4 linked regions of the Arabidopsis thaliana genome follow. The protein of the gene in region 1 interacts with the protein of each later gene in a pairwise test. Each region holds a gene or a part of one and is shown on either strand. Other genes may lie near its edges. The genes, in order: AT1G22570, NHX3, GAMMA-TIP and AT5G15240.

Region 1 (4,585 bases):
TATCTTTTCGTGAGCTTAAAGATATTACATATCTCGATCCTTTCAATATTGTTAGGTCATGATGCCATTTATCGATCTTCCGCATGTCACGCCGTTCAGTCTAGGCGTGAGTACCAATCCTAACTCCTAAGGATACGACATCATAGCAACTTAGCAACCATGTATGATAAAATGGTTCACACAAATTATTTAGGCCCGTATTTCGGCCCCTTTTGATTTCGAAATATTTTGGGCCTATAAAAAAGAGAGAATGTTTGAGACTCGAGAGTAGTAAGAAAGGAGAGAACGCAGGTTTTTTTTTTTAAATGAATGATTTCAGAGAACGCAAGTTATACACGTACTACACGTATAACACGTTCCTCAGCAAGACAACAATATTATCTTATCCTCAAGTGGATGCAAATAATATAAAGATTTTAATATTCATTTACTACATCAACCCCCAAGAACAAAAAATGTCTTCAACAAACAAATCTACAATCAACGAAACAAACGTAATCACCAAATATGAATCAATCAGCAGTATGCTGAAAATTGTTGCCAACATAATTTAAGCATGCGACTTTCAAAAACTCGAAAAATTGTCAACAATTTGAGTAATCCGAATTTTTCTGTTTCTATTACACATGAAAAGACAAAGTAACATTCAAAATCCATCTCATCTGCTTGGCGCGATAACATATCTGATAAGACTTTTTTTTGTGTGTCCAAAGCTGATAAGGTTTCCAACTTTATCAGAATCAATCTATATTTGACTATTCAAAACTGAAATACAGGAGATTATTTCTGCTATGAACAAATATTATTTTGACTATTTGACTGATCTATCACAAACATCTTAGCCAAAAAATAAAATTTAGTGACCACAGCTTGAGAAAAAAGGAAACATTCGTGTAGAATGTATTTTGCTGATTTGTGGAGAGTATAGTCTTGTGCTGTGAACAAATACATTCATATTACCCTGCAACTTGCAAGTAAAAAGAAGTTATGAAGTGACAGCTAATCAGGAGATAAGAATAACTCGATCATAAATACGGAACACCGCAACAAGCGGACCAAAGAGCATGCAAGTAGCCACTAGCCAAGTAGGAGAAAGAAAAATATACAACTACATAATAAATATTCCAAATTAAAAACTTATTGATTTAGTCTCAGCATTTATACAAATGTAAAATGTTTATACAAATGTTGTCTATTTTTTTTATTGTTAACGAATTTTCTAATTTTGAAATAATAGTGATCAATTATGTTGCTTTTGTGACTAAAAAGTAAGTGAATTTACAAATAAAATGATACGTCAAAATTATGGTTAGCTAAGCCTAAGTCTAAGAGCTTGAATGATATATGGATTTTTGGTCGATCCAACCCAAAAACATCTAAATATTCTATCAACATTTATACTCAAATAACAATTGTACATCACTAAGTTACATGTTTTTTATAACTTAATTTTAAGAATAAGTCGTGATCAATCAAATTACCCTTGATGTTGACTTTTGATTGAAAAAAATGACAAAAAGAATTTGCTGATACAAAACAAAACATGGCAAATATCTAGCTCGTACGTGTATCACTTGTCCAAAGGAAGTATGCGTATTATTGCGTAATAATACAATAATATCGGAAAGTTATATAAAATAAAAATACAAATAAGATAATGTAATTGCATACTTATTTTTTAACGCGTATAGTACACTCATCTCAAATGCCAATAAATATACAGATACACATAAAAGAAAGACTAGAAAGTTTAGTTACCCAAAATATCATAAATTAATGTAATCGTGTTCACTAGTTGCGCAAGACAAAGAGATCTTTTAGCTTAAAAATCTCATTTAGGCATTTACCCTTTAAAAAGTTTTCACAGAGATTCTCAACCTCTATTGGTGAGAGAAATGAAGATACCAGAGGAAGAAGTTGCACTCTTAGAAGATTACGTTAGCGATTCCGTCGACCACCGTGGATTTCCCGCCGGAAAATCTTCCACCGGCGGATGGAGATCGGCCTGGTTCATTATAGGTAAAACACATCAGAAACAATCCAATTTTTTTTCTTTTTCTAGTTAAACTTCTAAGTCCCAGTCTTAAATGATTTGTTTAGGTGTGGAAGTTGCAGAGAGGTTTGCTTACTTTGGGATTGCCTGCAATTTGATTACTTACCTCACCGGACCTCTCGGACAATCGACGGCGAAAGCTGCCGTGAACGTGAACACGTGGTCGGGAACTGCCTCTATACTTCCTATTTTAGGAGCTTTCGTAGCTGACGCTTATCTTGGTCGTTACCGTACTATTGTCGTAGCTTCCCTCATCTACATATTGGTTAGTACTTTTGTCTTCTTCTAGTTAAACCGGTTTGATCTTTGTATGATTTAAACCGGGATTTTAGCTGAATTTGGAGGATTATTATTATTACAGGGGCTAGGACTATTGACGTTATCAGCTTCTTTAATCATAATGGGATTATCTAAGCAACGTAACGACGCTTCTGCTAAACCATCTATTTGGGTTAATACACTTTTCTTCTGTTCTCTGTATTTGGTGGCGATCGGACAAGGTGGACACAAACCGTGTGTTCAAGCGTTTGGTGCGGACCAGTTTGATGCTGAAGATCCGAAGGAGGTAATAGCGAGAGGGTCGTTTTTCAATTGGTGGTTCTTGAGTTTATCTGCGGGAATAAGCATATCGATTATTGTGGTCGCTTATGTTCAAGAAAATGTTAATTGGGCGTTTGGGTTTGGGATTCCTTGTTTGTTTATGGTTATGGCTCTTGCTATCTTCTTGCTCGGGAGGAAGATATATAGATACCCAAAGGGACATCATGAGGAGGTTAATAGTAGTAACACTTTTGCAAGAATCGGTAGAGTTTTTGTTATTGCGTTCAAGAATCGGAAACTGAGGTTAGAACATTCTAGTTTGGAATTGGATCAAGGTCTATTGGAGGATGGTCAGTCCGAGAAACGTAAAGATCGGCTCAAGTAAGTTCGAATATTTTGTGTTTTGTTTTAGTCTTTTGGCATAATTTTGAGTGTAAATTTCTTTACCTTGTGTGACAAGTTTCCTAGCAAAAGCAATGATCTCAAGAGAAGGTGTTGAGCCATGTAGTGGTAGGGACGTGGATGACGCGAAGGCTTTGGTAAGGCTTATTCCGATATGGATCACATACGTGGTGAGCACGATTCCGTACGCTCAGTACATAACTTTCTTCACGAAGCAAGGGGTCACGGTGGACAGAAGAATCTTACCGGGAGTAGAAATTCCAGCGGCTTCTTTATTGTCATTCGTTGGTGTATCTATTCTCATCTCAGTGCCCCTATATGAGCGTGTATTTCTCCCGATAGCTAGGAAGATTACCAAAAAGCCTTTTGGGATCACAATGCTCCAAAGGATAGGAGCTGGAATGGTGCTTTCAGTCTTCAATATGATGCTCGCTGCATTAGTAGAATCAAAACGGCTAAAAATCGCTAGGGAACACGGGCTAGTGGACAAGCCGGACGTGACCGTTCCAATGTCCATATGGTGGTTCGTCCCTCAGTATTTGCTACTCGGGATGATCGATCTGTTCTCTATGGTGGGAACACAAGAATTCTTCTACGACCAAGTCCCAACGGAGCTAAGGAGCATTGGTCTCTCGCTTTCTCTGAGTGCGATGGGTCTTTCAAGCTTCTTGAGTGGTTTTCTCATCAGTTTGATTGATTGGGCTACGGGAAAAGACGGCTGGTTCAACTCTAACTTGAACCGAGCCCATGTGGATTACTTTTATTGGTTGCTCGCTGCTTTCACGGCCATTGCTTTCTTTGCGTTCTTGTTCATCTCCAAGATGTATGTGTATCGTCGGCTAGACCAAGTCTAAGAATTCAGAGTACTAGTTTTTTTTTTTTTTTGGTAAGAAGAATTCAGAGTATTACAGTAGAAACTCTATAAATTAATAATGGTGAGACCATGAAATTTTATTAATTTATAGTGATATTAATTTATCCTCTAAATTAATAAATATTAATTTATCGTATAAGTTAATAAATATTAATTTATAGAAATATTTACGTAAAGTACAATACTATATTCTTTTAAAAATATTTTTTAATGTAATTTTCTATATGCTTTGTTGTTTGCATATATAATTATGTTAGGTTTTTATTTTAATTTGACTTTTTTAATTTATTTTCGTCAAGATTTGTATCTGTATATCTACGACATTAACGTGAACGTAAACGTAAACATGAAAGTTAATCCAGTTTCTCTTTACACAAATCATAACAATGCTTTCTCAAATAAAAGATTTTACAAAATCAACTATGACGGATCAAATACGCAAATAGTTATGTGAGTACAACAGAGATCATATCAGTTGTATTTTAAAAAGAGTTAGTTTGAACAAAAATTTCATATAAAAATTAGTCTTAAGATATATACTTAAGATCTATGATTATTAATTTATAATATTATTGGGACTATAATTTTACATAGGGATTTTAAAAAAATTATTATCTTATTATTTTATCGATTTTGATTAATTTTTATATTGGCCCAACTTGGGACCGACAAAATTTATTAATTTATCGTGTTTATTAATTTATCGAGTATTAATT
Region 2 (5,638 bases), on another chromosome or scaffold:
GTAGACAGCAACTGGATCAAAATAAGAGCTAAAAATAGAAACTTTGAAGCTTGTAAGACATGCATTGTTGGATTATCTCGCATGTTTATCATCTGTAACAACCTGAGTTGTCCCGGCGGCGACTTCACCAACTTCGACCAAAAACTGAGATTTACTCAGAGAGAGAGAGAGAGAGAGAGAGAGAGAGAGCTTTTTGGTTTGTGGGATTCGAATTTATATGATCGTTGATTATTTTAAAAGGGAAAACAAAAGAACTTCGACTTTTTGTTTTTGACACATTTTTCCACTTTAAAAAGAAAACATCAACTAAAATTTTATTTTTTTGGTTTTTCATAAATAAACTAAAATGTTTTTCAATGTGTCTCCATATCTTTATTGCAGACAGAAAATATTGGGAGTGTAATTTTGACTCAATTTTTTTTTGAGAATACAAGAGTTTAATTTTCATGGGATAACTAAATAAGTTTTATTTTAAATTAGAATATAATTTTTTGATTGGTTGTCTCCAACCTAGAGAAACCAAACAATTGTTTTACATATATTTGTGTATTTATTTTTTATAGTTATGCGTTCTTCATTTATTACGACCTACTCTCTCTTTGTTTTTCTTTATTACTACCTACTTGTTTCCAAAACCAGCTAAACTATAAGCAAGCATAATAATAAACTATATAATGCATGCAATTGCAATATACATGTGTCAATCATTGGTCTTGTTATAATTAGGATTAGTGTAGAAACGGCTATTAGATATCAATTATATCCCTGCAATTTCTCCCTTAATCACTCCTATAGTAATTGGTGTATATCTGTTTTCCTCTACGGTACCAACAAATAAAAAGTCTACTGCGGGGAACGTATTTGTTTTTCTTGTTTCCTCTTCTCTTCTCTGTATATAAGAAAAATTGTATCATTCTAGTGATACTACCCATTACCCAATACGCATTCCAATAATGGCTACATTTACATATATGATATATGCATATACATATCACATATGAGCAGATTTATTATTTATCTAATATACACATTATATATCCGAATTCTATGTTTTCACGTTAATTATAATATTTACAAGTTTCTTAATTTATATTATAGCTATAATGATACTAGTATCTTAAAAAATGTTGAGAAGGCGGTGGTGGATGATCGATTAAAAGTCAGGTAGGTCCTAGAACATGGTCGTTAAAGATTACACGTGGTGAAATAGGTCGCTGAGTCACTTTTTACGTCATCAAAACACGACCAAACGAAACGATCACGTTCTAGCGTCTTGGCTGTTGCAACCGGGACCGTTACTCAGTAGAGTGTTTTATTTCGATTGGTTCGAGTCTTCACCAAATAATTCGTTGTAATAAATATTGAGTTTTCAAGTTTCATAATTTTATATAAACAGAATAAAGAACAAGAGGTAAAAATAAATTAAGGAAAAAGAACAACAATTTACGCGAGTTAGTTAGACCCAAAAAAGAAAAAAGAAAAAAATCCCCAAATCCGGTAAGAAAAAAATACATGATGAGTTAGTTTTGGGCCCTAAAAAGGCCCAAGATGCAGTACAATTCCAAAAAGCCTCACGTTTACTCAGTCTGATGACGTTGGAAACATGCCACGTGTCTTTCGTCTCCTCGCCACCTGTAACCACCGCCTTGTTCATCGCAGTTCAAATCTCTCCTCACTCTCTGACTCTTTCCTCGTCTCTCTCTCTATCGTTCTCTGTGTGCCTTCTTCGTTTGCGATTGGTGTTTTCAAAATCGACGAAATCGAAAACATTATCGAGTGAAAAATGAGTATCGGATTAACAGAGTTTGTGACGAATAAACTAGCAGCTGAGCATCCTCAGGTGATACCAATCTCAGTGTTCATCGCCATTCTCTGTCTATGTTTAGTTATCGGCCACTTGCTTGAAGAGAATCGATGGGTTAATGAATCTATTACCGCCATTTTAGTAGTAATTTTCTTCAAAATTTCTTCTTTTTTTTGTTTTAGCTAAAGTTTTGAGCTTTTCTGCTCTTAAAGAACAATTTTATCACTATTTTTGATTGGTTTTGTTGCAAGTAGGGAGCAGCATCAGGAACAGTGATCTTACTTATTAGTAAAGGAAAAAGTTCACATATTTTGGTGTTTGATGAAGAACTCTTCTTCATTTACCTTCTTCCTCCAATAATCTTCAATGCTGGGTAAGCTTACTATGGTTTTGGTTACTATGTTGTGGTTAATGGGTTAGATTACACTATGATGGTGATTGACTGAAGATTTTTTGGTTTGTTGTGGCAGGTTCCAAGTTAAGAAAAAGAAGTTTTTTCACAACTTTTTAACCATCATGTCCTTTGGTGTGATTGGAGTTTTCATCTCCACTGTCATTATCTCGTTTGGTAAAAAATATTTCATTAATCTTTGAATGACTTGACTATATGATTTAAAGTTGATTATCTCGGAGTTGTTACCATCTCTATTTTTGTTGTTTTTATAATGTGAACCAGGGACTTGGTGGCTGTTTCCCAAGTTGGGATTTAAGGGGTTGAGTGCTAGAGACTATCTTGGTAAGATTTTTCACTGATCTATGTTTCTTTTCATTTCTTGTTGAGATGGTTATTACTTATCAGTTTGCGAGAGTGAATGCTTTCTTGTTTTGATTCAGCCATAGGAACGATTTTCTCATCAACTGATACTGTTTGCACTCTACAGGTTCTTGATTTAGAAGATTCTTTGTCTTACTACTTCTTCTATTAAAAGTTTTTTCTTACATTGCATCTTAAACTTTTACAGATTCTCCATCAAGATGAAACACCATTGCTATACAGCTTAGTCTTTGGAGAAGGAGTGGTGAATGATGCAACCTCAGTTGTACTGTTCAACGCCGTGCAAAAGATTCAATTTGAAAGCCTAACCGGTTGGACGGCGCTGCAAGTATTTGGGAACTTTTTGTACCTCTTCTCAACAAGCACACTTCTCGGAATTGGTGTAAGCTATTGAGTTGGCATAGTTTTTTACTCTGTTTGAAGCATATCATGAGTAATCTTAGAACTGTGAATGTCTTGCAGGTGGGGCTAATAACATCTTTTGTTCTTAAAACCTTGTATTTTGGAAGGTAAAAGTACACCAAACTTGCAAATTTTTCATCTCAAGCTTAAGTTTTTTTTTTTTAGTGATAAGATGTGCCTTTATATTGATCTTGTTATATGGTTGCTGACAGACATTCTACTACACGCGAACTCGCCATCATGGTTCTAATGGCTTACCTTTCATATATGTTGGCTGAGGTAATACACTGGTCATGAACGCTACTTTTTAGTTTTCATTTGGAATTGAAGTGCTGCATTTCTCTGTTTTAACTCAATATAGTTGTTCTCTTGCAGCTCTTCTCATTAAGTGGAATTCTTACTGTTTTCTTCTGTGGTGTTTTAATGTCGCATTATGCATCATATAACGTGACAGAGAGCTCAAGAATCACTTCCAGGCAATGTATCAGACAATTGTTTATTCGCTGAAGTCTCAATTTGCAGGAATTGCTTTTGTCTGACTGTGCATCTATATTTTGCAGGCATGTATTTGCAATGTTGTCCTTTATTGCGGAGACATTCATATTTCTGTATGTTGGAACAGATGCTCTTGATTTTACAAAGTGGAAGACAAGCAGCTTAAGGTATAAAGTCGTATCCATTTATCAGCTGGTAGAGCGTTTAGAGTGTTTTGTCAAAACAATACACAGCATTTTGATATGAACCTCGTGTATTTCTTAAATGCATACCTAGAATCAAGATTATCCCAAAGACATCCTCTATGTCTTCTTCTCTCTTGACACGAAGTTAATCGCCAATTAACTGTTAGTTAAGCTGTGGTGGTGACTCGTTGTTTCTGAAATCTCTTCCCAATGAAGACTTGTAACATTAATCATCTTCTTGCAGCTTTGGGGGTACTCTGGGTGTCTCCGGTGTCATAACCGCATTAGTATTGCTTGGACGAGCAGCATTTGTCTTTCCACTCTCGGTCTTAACAAATTTCATGAACAGGCACACTGAAAGAAACGAGTCTATCACATTTAAGCATCAGGTTTAGCTCTTGTTTGTTACAGTTACATTATCAGAAGCACTAAAATAAAAAATTAATAATGGTCCGAGAATGGGAAAGTTTCTGTTATATAATTCTCTCTTTGTATACTTTATAGGTGATCATTTGGTGGGCAGGTCTAATGCGAGGTGCTGTCTCAATTGCTCTGGCTTTCAAGCAGGTTTTTCTCTTTGCACATTCATATTATCTCTAATCTCTATTGTATTACTTTTACATTGAATTAGTAACATTTCCATTATATCTCATTTTGGTATATCTTTCATGTGCCAAGTTCACATACTCCGGTGTTACATTGGATCCTGTGAATGCTGCCATGGTCACCAACACCACTATCGTTGTTCTCTTTACTACACTGGTAAAACAAATACTACCTTAGTATATGGCCCTACTGGTTCTGGTAGTTTTCTGTGTTAAGATCAAAAGAATGACTTCTTTGTCATGTAACAAACAGGTCTTTGGTTTCCTCACAAAACCACTTGTGAATTATCTCCTTCCTCAAGATGCAAGTCACAACACCGGAAATAGAGGTAAACGCACTGAGCCAGGTTCTCCGAAAGAAGATGCGACACTTCCTCTTCTTTCCTTTGACGAGTCTGCTTCCACCAACTTCAATAGAGCTAAAGATAGTATTTCCCTTCTGATGGAACAACCTGTGTACACCATCCACCGCTACTGGAGAAAGTTTGACGACACATACATGAGGCCTATCTTCGGTGGACCTCGTCGAGAAAACCAACCAGAATGCTAGGTATACCCTCCATTATTACCACACAAATTTATACATTTTGCAGCAAACGCACCTCACTTGATCAATAATGTGTAACCGGAATTAATAAGTACATCCGGGAAGAGGTGCCTACAATATTCATCATGATAAGCGAACAATTCTCTCTTTTTGTGTTGCAGAATTGATCCGGGTTCTCCGCGGGGAAATCATGATGAGTTAGTTTTTTTTATAGTCAAGAAAGTAGGATAGTTGGTTTAGCTAAAACAGTTTCTTAAAGTTTTTGTTAAATGTATACAACAAGGTTCTTCTATATACACAAGCTGCGATTATTACTGCGAGTTTGTAATTTATTTGGATCGGAACATAAGACATATTGTAAGACTTCAGATCAGTTGCAGGACAAGTTCGAGTGAAGTCTGCTAGAACGGTCTGTCTCCATCTCAGTTCCTCAAAGCTGCACTTACAGAACAGCAAAACGTAAGCCTTTTTTACTTCATACTTCATATTGGGATCCTACTAGTCTACCGGTTTTTAGTATCTTAATGGTATTTTGATTTTACCTTGGCAAGCAGGAGGGATTGTTGTCAGGCCACATTTGCTCAGAAGAGCCTGGACTTTAGATGGGTAAACCGCTAAAACGGGGAGAACAGACTTGAATCTGCAGATGCATTTCAGATTAGCGGCTTGGAGGAGTTCACAACACTCTTTGATTGGAGATGGCGGGTTGTCTCCAATTACGGCTGGACGACATTTTTCCAGATGGTTTGCGTTGATGTTACATGCGGTAATGCTCGTAGGTTCTTCCATCAACACCAAGGCGGCTAAAACTATTGCAAGAGCTGC
Region 3 (3,744 bases), on another chromosome or scaffold:
CAAACTTAGCACCTCATCGAATCATGTCTTGATTTTGGTCGGACCTGTTTGACAAGTATGGTTGAGACTTGAGATCTCTATTGCAAAACAATCTTACTGCTTAAAATAAGTAAAAGGAAAACAGATTAATCTTTCTCATTGGATCTTATTTTTCTAAATTCACACCCTTTGCAAAATGCAAATACAAAGCAACATAAAAAAAAGAAAAGCCGTATTCACTATTGAGTATTGATTGACTAGTAACCCTCACTGACTGACCCCTACAATATCATTTTATTCCCTTATTGCAAAACGCCAACCATTCCAACTTTCAAATTTTTACATATACATATGGTGAATTTAATTTGTCTTCTTCTTTTTTTTTTTTTTTTTTTTTTTTGTTAAAGATATGGTGAATTTTGTTAGACGTAAATAGATCGAAACTTGTATCAAATTCTAGTTTTTTTAAAAAATATATATAATTATATATCATATTTTTTTATTACTCATAATTTGTTTACTCATTTCTTATAAATTCGGTCATAAATAAAGTTAATGTGTAATAAGACTGATGTGGAATTTAAAAGTTTGACAAAATGGCAAAAAGAGATATTGCAACACTTGAAAACTTAAGATGAGATTGATACATAATTCACATTATATAGTCGAAATTGCAATGGCCACTCTTGAAACCAACGGACAAGGATTCATCTAAAAGATCGAACGATCATAAACCCCTTGATGATTCGAAATTACACAAACGGAAATTAAAAAGACATTAAAATTCAAATTCAAAGTCGAATAAAATTACACAAGAGAGAAAAAGAGAGATTAATTCAGTAGTCTGTGGTTGGGAGCTGCTCGTGTGTGGTGTTGATGAAGAAAACTTCGTAGATGAGTCCAGCGATTCCACCGCCGACGAGAGGTCCGGCCCAGTAGACCCAGTGGTTGGTCCATGTCCAGCTCACCACCGCTGGTCCGAAAGCCACGGCGGGATTCATGGAGGCTCCAGAGAAAGCTCCTCCAGCTAAGATGTTGGCTCCAACAATGAAACCGATTGCGATGGGAGCAATTGTTCCAAGACTCCCGTTTTTGGGGTCAATGGCTGTAGCGTAGACGGTGTAAACAAGCCCGAATGTCATCACGATCTCGAAAACGAAAGCGTTCAACACTCCTACTCCAGCAGAGAGACCAAAAGCCGGCACAGCCTAAAATTTTCAAAAGGTTAATTAGTTACTTGACAAAGAAGTTAGGTCCAAAAAGAGATCTAATAAAGGGCTAAAGGGTAGTTTGACATACCAAGCCACCGGTGGCGAATTTAAGGATGAGGCAAGCGACGACGGAGCCGAGAAGCTGAGCAATCCAGTAGAGGATACCACGGAGGAGAGTGATGTTACCACCAATGAAAGCACCGAAAGTGACGGCAGGGTTAACGTGTCCACCAGAGATGTTGGCACCAACTGAGACAGCGACGAAGAGTCCAAAGGCATGAGCCACTGCAGCAGCTACGAGACCAGAAGGAGTGGTGGCTCCGTTTTCAGTGAGCTTGTTGAAAGCCATGCCAGAGCCTGAACCGGCGACGACAAAGATCAAAGTTGAAATGAACTCAGCCAACGCCGCCTTTAAGGCATCGGGACGGGTGGCTTCATCTGGACGGCCAATGGCGATGTTTCTGATCGGCATGATCGGACGGCTGAGATTTAAGCTTCAAGATGCTAGAAGAGTGGGAGATGGATTTGATGATTTTTTCTGGTCTACTATGTGCTCTTACTTATATCTGAGGTGGCGCCATTTTGGTGACCGGTTACCGGATGATATATTATTAATATTTGGTGGAGAAATTATTTGATTGGAGCGGTTAGAGATTTAAATAATTTTGAAAACAGGCTAAACAAGTACATCGCTATAATTCCAGCGAAGCGGAACCGACCAATCTACGTGGCGGATAATGACTTGTCATGTTTGTACATGTATAGAGCTTTTGTCCCTTTTTCATATTCTCTCTCTCGAATGATCGATAGTTCTAGAGGAAAATAATACGATTTTATTCTTGTTTTTCTCCAACTATTTTGCTAAGAGGTTTTTACTTGATTAGTGGTAGAATTTAGTCTTGATATATGTGTGGTAAAAATACTCAACTGAGTATACGGAGCAAGCTCCAAAACAAAAATTATAACTAAAGATGGTTACTAAAAATATTTCATATCTAATCTATAGTCATTTGTTTCTTCCTTACTTATAATCTGTCGTTGTTTTTTTGTTATAATGTCGTTGTTTTCTCTTGGGTCTTTATTCTCGAAACATAAATAATTCTGTGTAGATAAGTCACGGCTAGTTTTATGAATTTGATATTCGTATAGTGACATTACATGCTAACCATAAGTTATGATATTTTTTTATATTATCGCTAAGTAGAATTATGTAGCATAAATGATATTCAATGCCAAATCACTACGCTTTATTCTAATCGCAATTCTTTCAACTCGCTCTCCAAGTATACGAGAAAATTATAAGATGTTATCTTGTTTGTGGCACCAATTTTTCTGTGATTATATATTTATATTGTTTGTGGCACCAAATTTTAACATTCGAGACAATCTCACATTTTTTCACAATCATACAGAAAGATTATATATTTATTTTAGCATTTTATTTTGTGGGCCAATTATCTATTGGGCAAAAAGTATTGTGTGACGGCCCTCCACTTAAGGAAAAATAATAATTTATGAATGTCCTACCACCACGATGCAATCTGTCCCTTTTGGGCGGTTTAGGTTTACAATTCGGCTGAGAGGTACTGCCAGAAAGTGATTAATTTCCAAACAAAATTTAAAATGTCATATTATTTATTTAAAATAATAATAAATAAAAGACGTGATAATTTCGTTTTTCTTTTGTTTAATTTGATCTTTTTTTTTTTTAAATATAATACTACAAATTTTAACAGTGTGCTAATTTTTATTTATTTTACAAGCCTTGACAAAATAGTTGAACCATTTTGAAGTTTTTTGCACAGTTCGAAGTTCATACAACTGATCCAATTTTCTTTATATAAAAACAGAGCCCGCAGATTTATATAAATTGGAAGGGATTAAAACGATTGCTTTTTTTTTTTAACACATGAAACATGAGTCGTGTGTGTGTAGAGAAAATTATAATACGATACCAAACCAACTTTCCTATCAACACGGGACAAATTTGATATCTTTTTTCTATCATCTCTTTCAAACATACTGTGACCTGTGATTGATAAACATGTGAAACTTTTCCTTTGATGTAAGTCGTGTGATTTTAGAACTACCTAGATTGGGGTGGATTGTTAGGTGGATGATCCATTGTTTTTGCCTTTTTGGGTGGTTCACATAATGAACATTGATGGTGCACAACATCAACTGGCATGAATACTGCGTACAATCACGAACGTTCTAGTGACAATGTTCCAGTATTCTTTTACCAACCACATGTACGTACTTCTCAAAAACATAGCTAGTAGCCGAAGTATTTTCAAAACGCTAGCTAATCATCGGAATTCCTCATATATTTGGTGACACTTTATTGATTGGTGCATTTCCTTGTTGACTTTTTCTCCTTCTTATTTAAAACTTGATTGAGAACAATCATTTTTGGACCGTTTACCTTACCTTTGTATAACTAACTAAGATTTCAAAGCATTAACTATCTAAAAACGTTGAAAGAAACCAACCGTATACGTGGACATAATTAAGTCGTTCAGTTTTATGAACGTTACTAATCTGACGTTTTGAA
Region 4 (5,266 bases), on another chromosome or scaffold:
GTCATACAGTCAAAGCAACCCACTATCTTGAGACCCACAAAACAGTAAAAAAAAAAGCTAATGAATTTCCACTAGATTCTGTTGTTTTTATTAGTAATAAAAAATTTTTGAGTGTTAACATTTTGATATTGTTTGTATTTGAAACAACCAGAATGCCCATCGGAATGTGATAGGAGGTGTAAAAAGACACAGTACCACAAGGCTTGCATTACGTTCTGCAACAAATGCTGCAGGAAGTGTCTCTGTGTGCCTCCGGGTTACTATGGGAACAAACAAGTTTGCTCCTGCTACAACAACTGGAAAACTCAAGAGGGTGGACCAAAATGCCCTTGAAAAAATCTCCCTTCGTTCCCTTTTTATAATAAAAATTTTCAACTATAACTAAATTTCCTTTGATCAATGTTTTATCTACTTTATTCCTAATGTTGTAATGTTATGTCACTCCTTTTCGGATTTTGTTCTAAATCCTAAAAAAAATGAGAGTGGCCCTATGAATGATATTTTTCATGAATACTTGTGTTTCTAAAGATATTTTCCCATTCATCCACCAAAAAAAAAGATATTTTCCATTTCGAAAATAGTAATACTATAAAGGGTAAGGCAAACCAAATAATACAATTTAAAAAATTCCTGCGAAAGAAGTATGCATATGTAGAAAAGAGTGACATTGGGTCTCTCGGCCCAGTACTAAAAAGCCCATTATTGATTTTTCCAAGCTTTTTACAAAATCACGTGTTCTAACGCGATTGCTTTTTGCCGCAATCTTCTTTTATACAAGACTTGGGCTTTGGGCAGTTGGAAATAAATAACGACAACGATATTTTACAATCGGTGCAATGATATGAACCACAAACTTATAAACGTTTTACCCGTTCATTACCCTACGTATCAATAAATACTCTTAATAATGCCTTATATATTGACATTAATCGACAAGAAATATGAGGTTTGGAGTACAACTATAGTTATTAGCATTAACAACAAAGCTCAATTTAGCTCTCTTTGTTAGACATCTCACATGCATTTTGAATGGTGATCTTGAAGAAGATACTTTTTTTTTTTATCAACATGTGCATGCTATTTTTTCACAAGCACAACATGGGGAAATGGCCGGCAATGAGTATTCTTCTTTTCTAAAGAACTCATTTTGTAACCTATAAAAGTTTTTGGTTTCGATTTCTGAATGAAAACATATTGGATAACTGTAAAAAATTTGCAGTATGGTTTTAATAGTAACGAAAATATATAGATATATATGTCGATATTTTCATTATTGTTAGAACTACTCGGCACCTTGTAGAACATAACTGTAAACTAGCGTCAAGATATTGATTTACGTCAGATCAAGGCTATTCATACTTATCTACTCTTTAGGTCTGGGGATTCACTTGTCAACTATTTTTAACAAACGACAACAAAAAAATATGTGACGATTTTTCAAGTGCTCCAGTCTCGTCCAACAGATTATTGACATGATATACTACTTTGGACCATGTATTTTTATGAAAATTTGATCCCTCTTCAGTCTTCACCGAAAGAGGATTTGGTACTTGCATTCTCTCTATCACCTAAGTTAAACGCCCTAACATTAAAGTGGAAAACTTCGTGGAGTTTTATTTTCTCTCTTCCTACCAATTTTCTTATACAACTAACATTAAATTCTAGAACCACACAAATCGCAAATTATGGTAGATTTGTGTGTAAGTGGTTATAATTTTTTTCTATATAAAGAGTTGCACTTAAATTTCAATTAGTTTCTAAAAACCCCATCCACGAATATTTAATTGGTCAATAAACATTAAATAGAATTCCACTGCCACGCTAATATCGTGTAGATATCATATGTGCATGGATACTGCATAAAAATCAGCTCTAATAATTGATGTAATTTAAAAACATTGACCCTAGTAAATGTATTAACACTATATATATTGCCTTTTGAGGGTTTCTTTATTGTTTACTTCCAAGTTCCAACTTCTCTCTATCTATTTCCTTCGTCTCTCGATCTCTCCGTCTCTCTCTCTTTGTCTCTTCGATATCCAAAGAGCAGAGTCAAAGACTAAACAAGTATGAGCGAGGACAAAGATTACATGTCGGAGCCATTTATCGTTAAGAAGATTGATGATGAAGAATCATTGCTTGATGATTATAATCCACAGGGCAATACTTCTTTCTCCAAGACTTGTTTCCATGGCATTAACGCCTTATCAGGTTTAATTTCCTCTTCTTCTTCTTTTTTTTTTTTTCTATTTTCATTTTCGTGATTGATTTTTTCTTTTTGATTTATTCACCACTTCTTCTTATCTCCAAACTCCATAACTCACGGGGAAAGATCCAACTCTTAGCATGTCCACATATATGGATAGGATATATCTTAATTTTCAAAATAATCTAGAAAAAACTATAATTAGCTTTATTGTACTTAATTTCTATAGATGCATGTTTTTAACTCAAGCTTTTGACTTTATCTTGTATCATCTAGATTGGTGTGTATTTCAATCCTACATTTTGTTTCTTTACCTCCTAGTCTTGCCTCAGTTTTTTTAGTTATTTAATTTTTCTGTTGATAATTTATCATAACCAAGTTAAAACCAGTTCTACTTAGACTGAATTGTGTTTTTCTTCGTCTAGATTCAGTTTCATAGTCTTTGATAAACAATAGTGCTAAATAACCAAATCATTTTTGTTCTGACTATTAAAGGTTAGGATGGTTCCGTTTAACTGAATTTAACACTATAGTATTAACAATTCGGCAAAGTTTTCAATGACTATTGCTATTATTTATTCGCTAAATGTGGTAATGGCCTAATAATGGGTTTATCAAACTGGCCGCTATCGTTGTACTTAATTGTTTATATACCAAACTAGATACTTAGTTTATACTAAAAAAACTAATTATATACTGGAAACACGTCTGACCAAACTAGACCAAACTAGACCATATACGAACAAAAAACAGTCCATATAATTAAATAGAAAGAAACCAGCAATTCCAATTATCTTTCAGATATAAATACAACGTGTCACTGAACAAAACCTTAACACATTAACAACACGTCTTCCCTTTTCAATTTGTGTTCTTCTTCTTCTACAAGACTACAAACCACTTTGATAAAATCAAATCATATTATCTTATTGGTAACGAGACCACGAATATTTCTTTGCGTTTGTGTTTTCAATTAAAAACTGCGTTTGCGTTTTCATATATACAAAAAGAACGTTTGTAAATAGTTAACACAAAAAACGTTAATTAGCATATGCGTTAGGCTTGGACATTCTTCTGATCAACTCTTTTTTTTTTAGGTGTGGGTATATTATCGGTCCCTTATGCCTTAGCATCCGGAGGATGGCTAAGTTTGATCATACTTTTCACCGTAGCGATCACAACTTTCTACTGTGCCATTCTCATTAAGAGATGTATGGAAATGGATCCACTTCTTAGATCATACCCGGACATTGGCTACAAAGCCTTTGGAAACACAGGACGTGTTATCGTCTCCATCTTCATGAACCTCGAGCTTTACCTAGTTGCAACTAGTTTCTTGATCCTAGAAGGTGACAACCTTAACAAACTCTTCTCAAACGTTGGACTCAACTTCATGGGGCTTGAATTCCAAGGCAAGCAAATGTTCATCATCATGGTGGCTCTCATTATTCTTCCTTCGGTTTGGTTAGACAATATGAGGATTCTTTCTTATGTTTCCGCGAGTGGTGTCTTTGCTTCCGGGGTTATTCTTGCTTCTATCTTTTCGGTTGGAGCTTTTGAAGGCGTAGGGTTCAAGAACAATGACTCAGAGGTCTTTCGACTTAATGGAGTCGCTACTTCGGTGAGCTTATACGCGTTTTGTTATTGCGCTCATCCAGTTTTCCCAACTCTATACACTTCCATGAAGAACAAACGCCAATTCTCAAACGTAAGTTTTTTACATAACGGATCATTAGGTTATTCTTGACCAAAACTCACACTAATAATTTTGCATATTTTTTTTAACATTTTCAGGTTATGATTATATGTTTCACAATATGCACCTTCATATATGCATCAGTGGCGGTATTGGGTTACTTAATGTATGGATCAGATGTTGAATCACAGATCACTTTGAATCTTCCTACTGATAAGCTTAGTTCAAAAGTGGCGATATGGACTACATTGGTCAACCCAATAGCTAAGTTTGCTCTCATGGTTACACCTATTATTGACGCAATGAGAAGCCGGTTTTCTCGAGTTTTGCCTAATAAAAGAGCTTCTGGATTTTTGCTAAGTACAATACTAGTTACTAGCAATGTGATTGTGGCATTGCTTCTTCCGTTTTTTGGTGATCTTATGAGTCTTGTGGGAGCATTCTTGAGCGCATCCGCATCGGTTATATTGCCATGTTTATGTTACTTAAAGATCTCTGGGAAATATCAAAGACTCGGATTCGAAACATTGGTGCTCATCGGAATCACTCTAACCGGTATCGTGGTTGTGATAACCGGAACTTACCAAGCGGTCAAGGACATTTTTGGTCGATTTTGAAATCCCAATAGGTGAAGTTTAGCTTATAGAGTATTTGTTTAGGAAGATATTTGTACTACCAACAGTCCAATACCATAATTTGTTTTATTTGATTTTTTGTGACTTTCGTTAACGAAGTTTTTTTGAGTTATGTAATAATTTGGAATGAGAAAAATGTGAATACGTTAAATGAAGACATGAGTTGATCTAGGTGTCTGTATTAGACACTAATCAAGTCATTGATTCGAATTCTTACATCGCCATCGGTATTTAACGGTTGATCAGTATACTCAGACAGAATTGCTCGAAACTCGTCTCCCGTTAAGGTTTCTTTCTCCAACAAAACATCAACAAGCTTGTCTATAGCTTCTCTATTATTCCTCACGTGCTTTTTCGCAACCTCGTAAGCGTCACCGATTATTTTCTTCACGCAAGAATCAATATCCTCCGCAAGTTTCTCGGACATTGAGTTCCTCGCTAGCATCCGTAGAACCACATCGTTTTGCTTAACCGCTGGGTCGGTTAGTGCCCATGGACCGATTTCCGACATACCAAACATCGTCACCATCTGAACCATAAGAATAATTAGAAAATCCACCGTTTTTTTCCGGTTTATGAAAATTTTGTTTCAATTACTGTACCTGTCTTGCTATCTCAGTGACTTGCTGGAGATCACCGGCAGCGCCGGTGGTTATCTCCGGTTCTCCAAAAATTACATCTTCGGCGGCTCTGCCTCCGAGTCCTCCGACGATTCTAGCGAACAATTGC

The links.
Region 2: the proteins of AT1G22570 (region 1) and NHX3 interact in a protein complementation assay, tested with the Arabidopsis thaliana proteins (one large-scale study listed by BioGRID).
Region 3: the proteins of AT1G22570 (region 1) and GAMMA-TIP interact in a protein complementation assay, tested with the Arabidopsis thaliana proteins (one large-scale study listed by BioGRID).
Region 4: the proteins of AT1G22570 (region 1) and AT5G15240 interact in a protein complementation assay, tested with the Arabidopsis thaliana proteins (one large-scale study listed by BioGRID).

What each region holds. Positions count from the first base shown.
Region 1 is NC_003070.9:7,975,884-7,980,468, reverse strand, and holds AT1G22570 (Major facilitator superfamily protein), read left to right. Parts: upstream 1-1,658; 5' UTR 1,659-1,895; coding exon 1,896-2,019; intron 2,020-2,021; exon of another isoform or gene 2,022-2,087; coding exon of another isoform or gene 2,088-2,100; coding exon 2,101-2,318; intron 2,319-2,414; coding exon 2,415-2,974; intron 2,975-3,053; coding exon 3,054-3,849; 3' UTR 3,850-4,045; downstream 4,046-4,585.
Region 2 is NC_003076.8:22,468,731-22,474,368, reverse strand, and holds NHX3 (Na+/H+ (sodium hydrogen) exchanger 3), read left to right. Parts: upstream 1-1,662; 5' UTR 1,663-1,783; coding exon 1,784-1,948; intron 1,949-2,058; coding exon 2,059-2,177; intron 2,178-2,274; coding exon 2,275-2,372; intron 2,373-2,480; coding exon 2,481-2,540; intron 2,541-2,638; coding exon 2,639-2,685; intron 2,686-2,766; coding exon 2,767-2,961; intron 2,962-3,041; coding exon 3,042-3,088; intron 3,089-3,193; coding exon 3,194-3,260; intron 3,261-3,356; coding exon 3,357-3,457; intron 3,458-3,541; coding exon 3,542-3,643; intron 3,644-3,905; coding exon 3,906-4,050; intron 4,051-4,165; coding exon 4,166-4,228; intron 4,229-4,339; coding exon 4,340-4,423; intron 4,424-4,519; coding exon 4,520-4,816; intron 4,817-4,974; 3' UTR 4,975-5,124; downstream 5,125-5,638. Other genes in the region: SVL1 (SHV3-like 1), read right to left, coding at 1-92; AT5G55460 (Bifunctional inhibitor/lipid-transfer protein/seed storage 2S albumin superfamily protein), read right to left, coding at 5,236-5,249, 5,356-5,638. UniProt on the Arabidopsis thaliana protein: May act in low affinity electroneutral exchange of protons for cations such as Na(+) or K(+) across membranes. May also exchange Li(+) and Cs(+) with a lower affinity.
Region 3 is NC_003071.7:15,443,408-15,447,151, reverse strand, and holds GAMMA-TIP (gamma tonoplast intrinsic protein), read right to left. Parts: upstream 1,859-3,744; 5' UTR 1,663-1,858; coding exon 1,279-1,662; intron 1,188-1,278; coding exon 816-1,187; 3' UTR 531-815; downstream 1-530. UniProt on the Arabidopsis thaliana protein: Water channel required to facilitate the transport of water, diffusion of amino acids and/or peptides from the vacuolar compartment to the cytoplasm. Does not promote glycerol permeability. May play a role in the control of cell turgor and cell expansion.
Region 4 is NC_003076.8:4,945,693-4,950,958, forward strand, and holds AT5G15240 (Transmembrane amino acid transporter family protein), read left to right. Parts: upstream 1-1,884; 5' UTR 1,885-2,069; coding exon 2,070-2,211; intron 2,212-2,882; exon of another isoform or gene 2,883-3,303; coding exon 3,304-3,914; intron 3,915-4,000; coding exon 4,001-4,519; 3' UTR 4,520-4,718; downstream 4,719-5,266. Other genes in the region: GASA4 (GAST1 protein homolog 4), read left to right, coding at 152-333; FTSH6 (FTSH protease 6), read right to left, coding at 4,719-5,066, 5,140-5,266.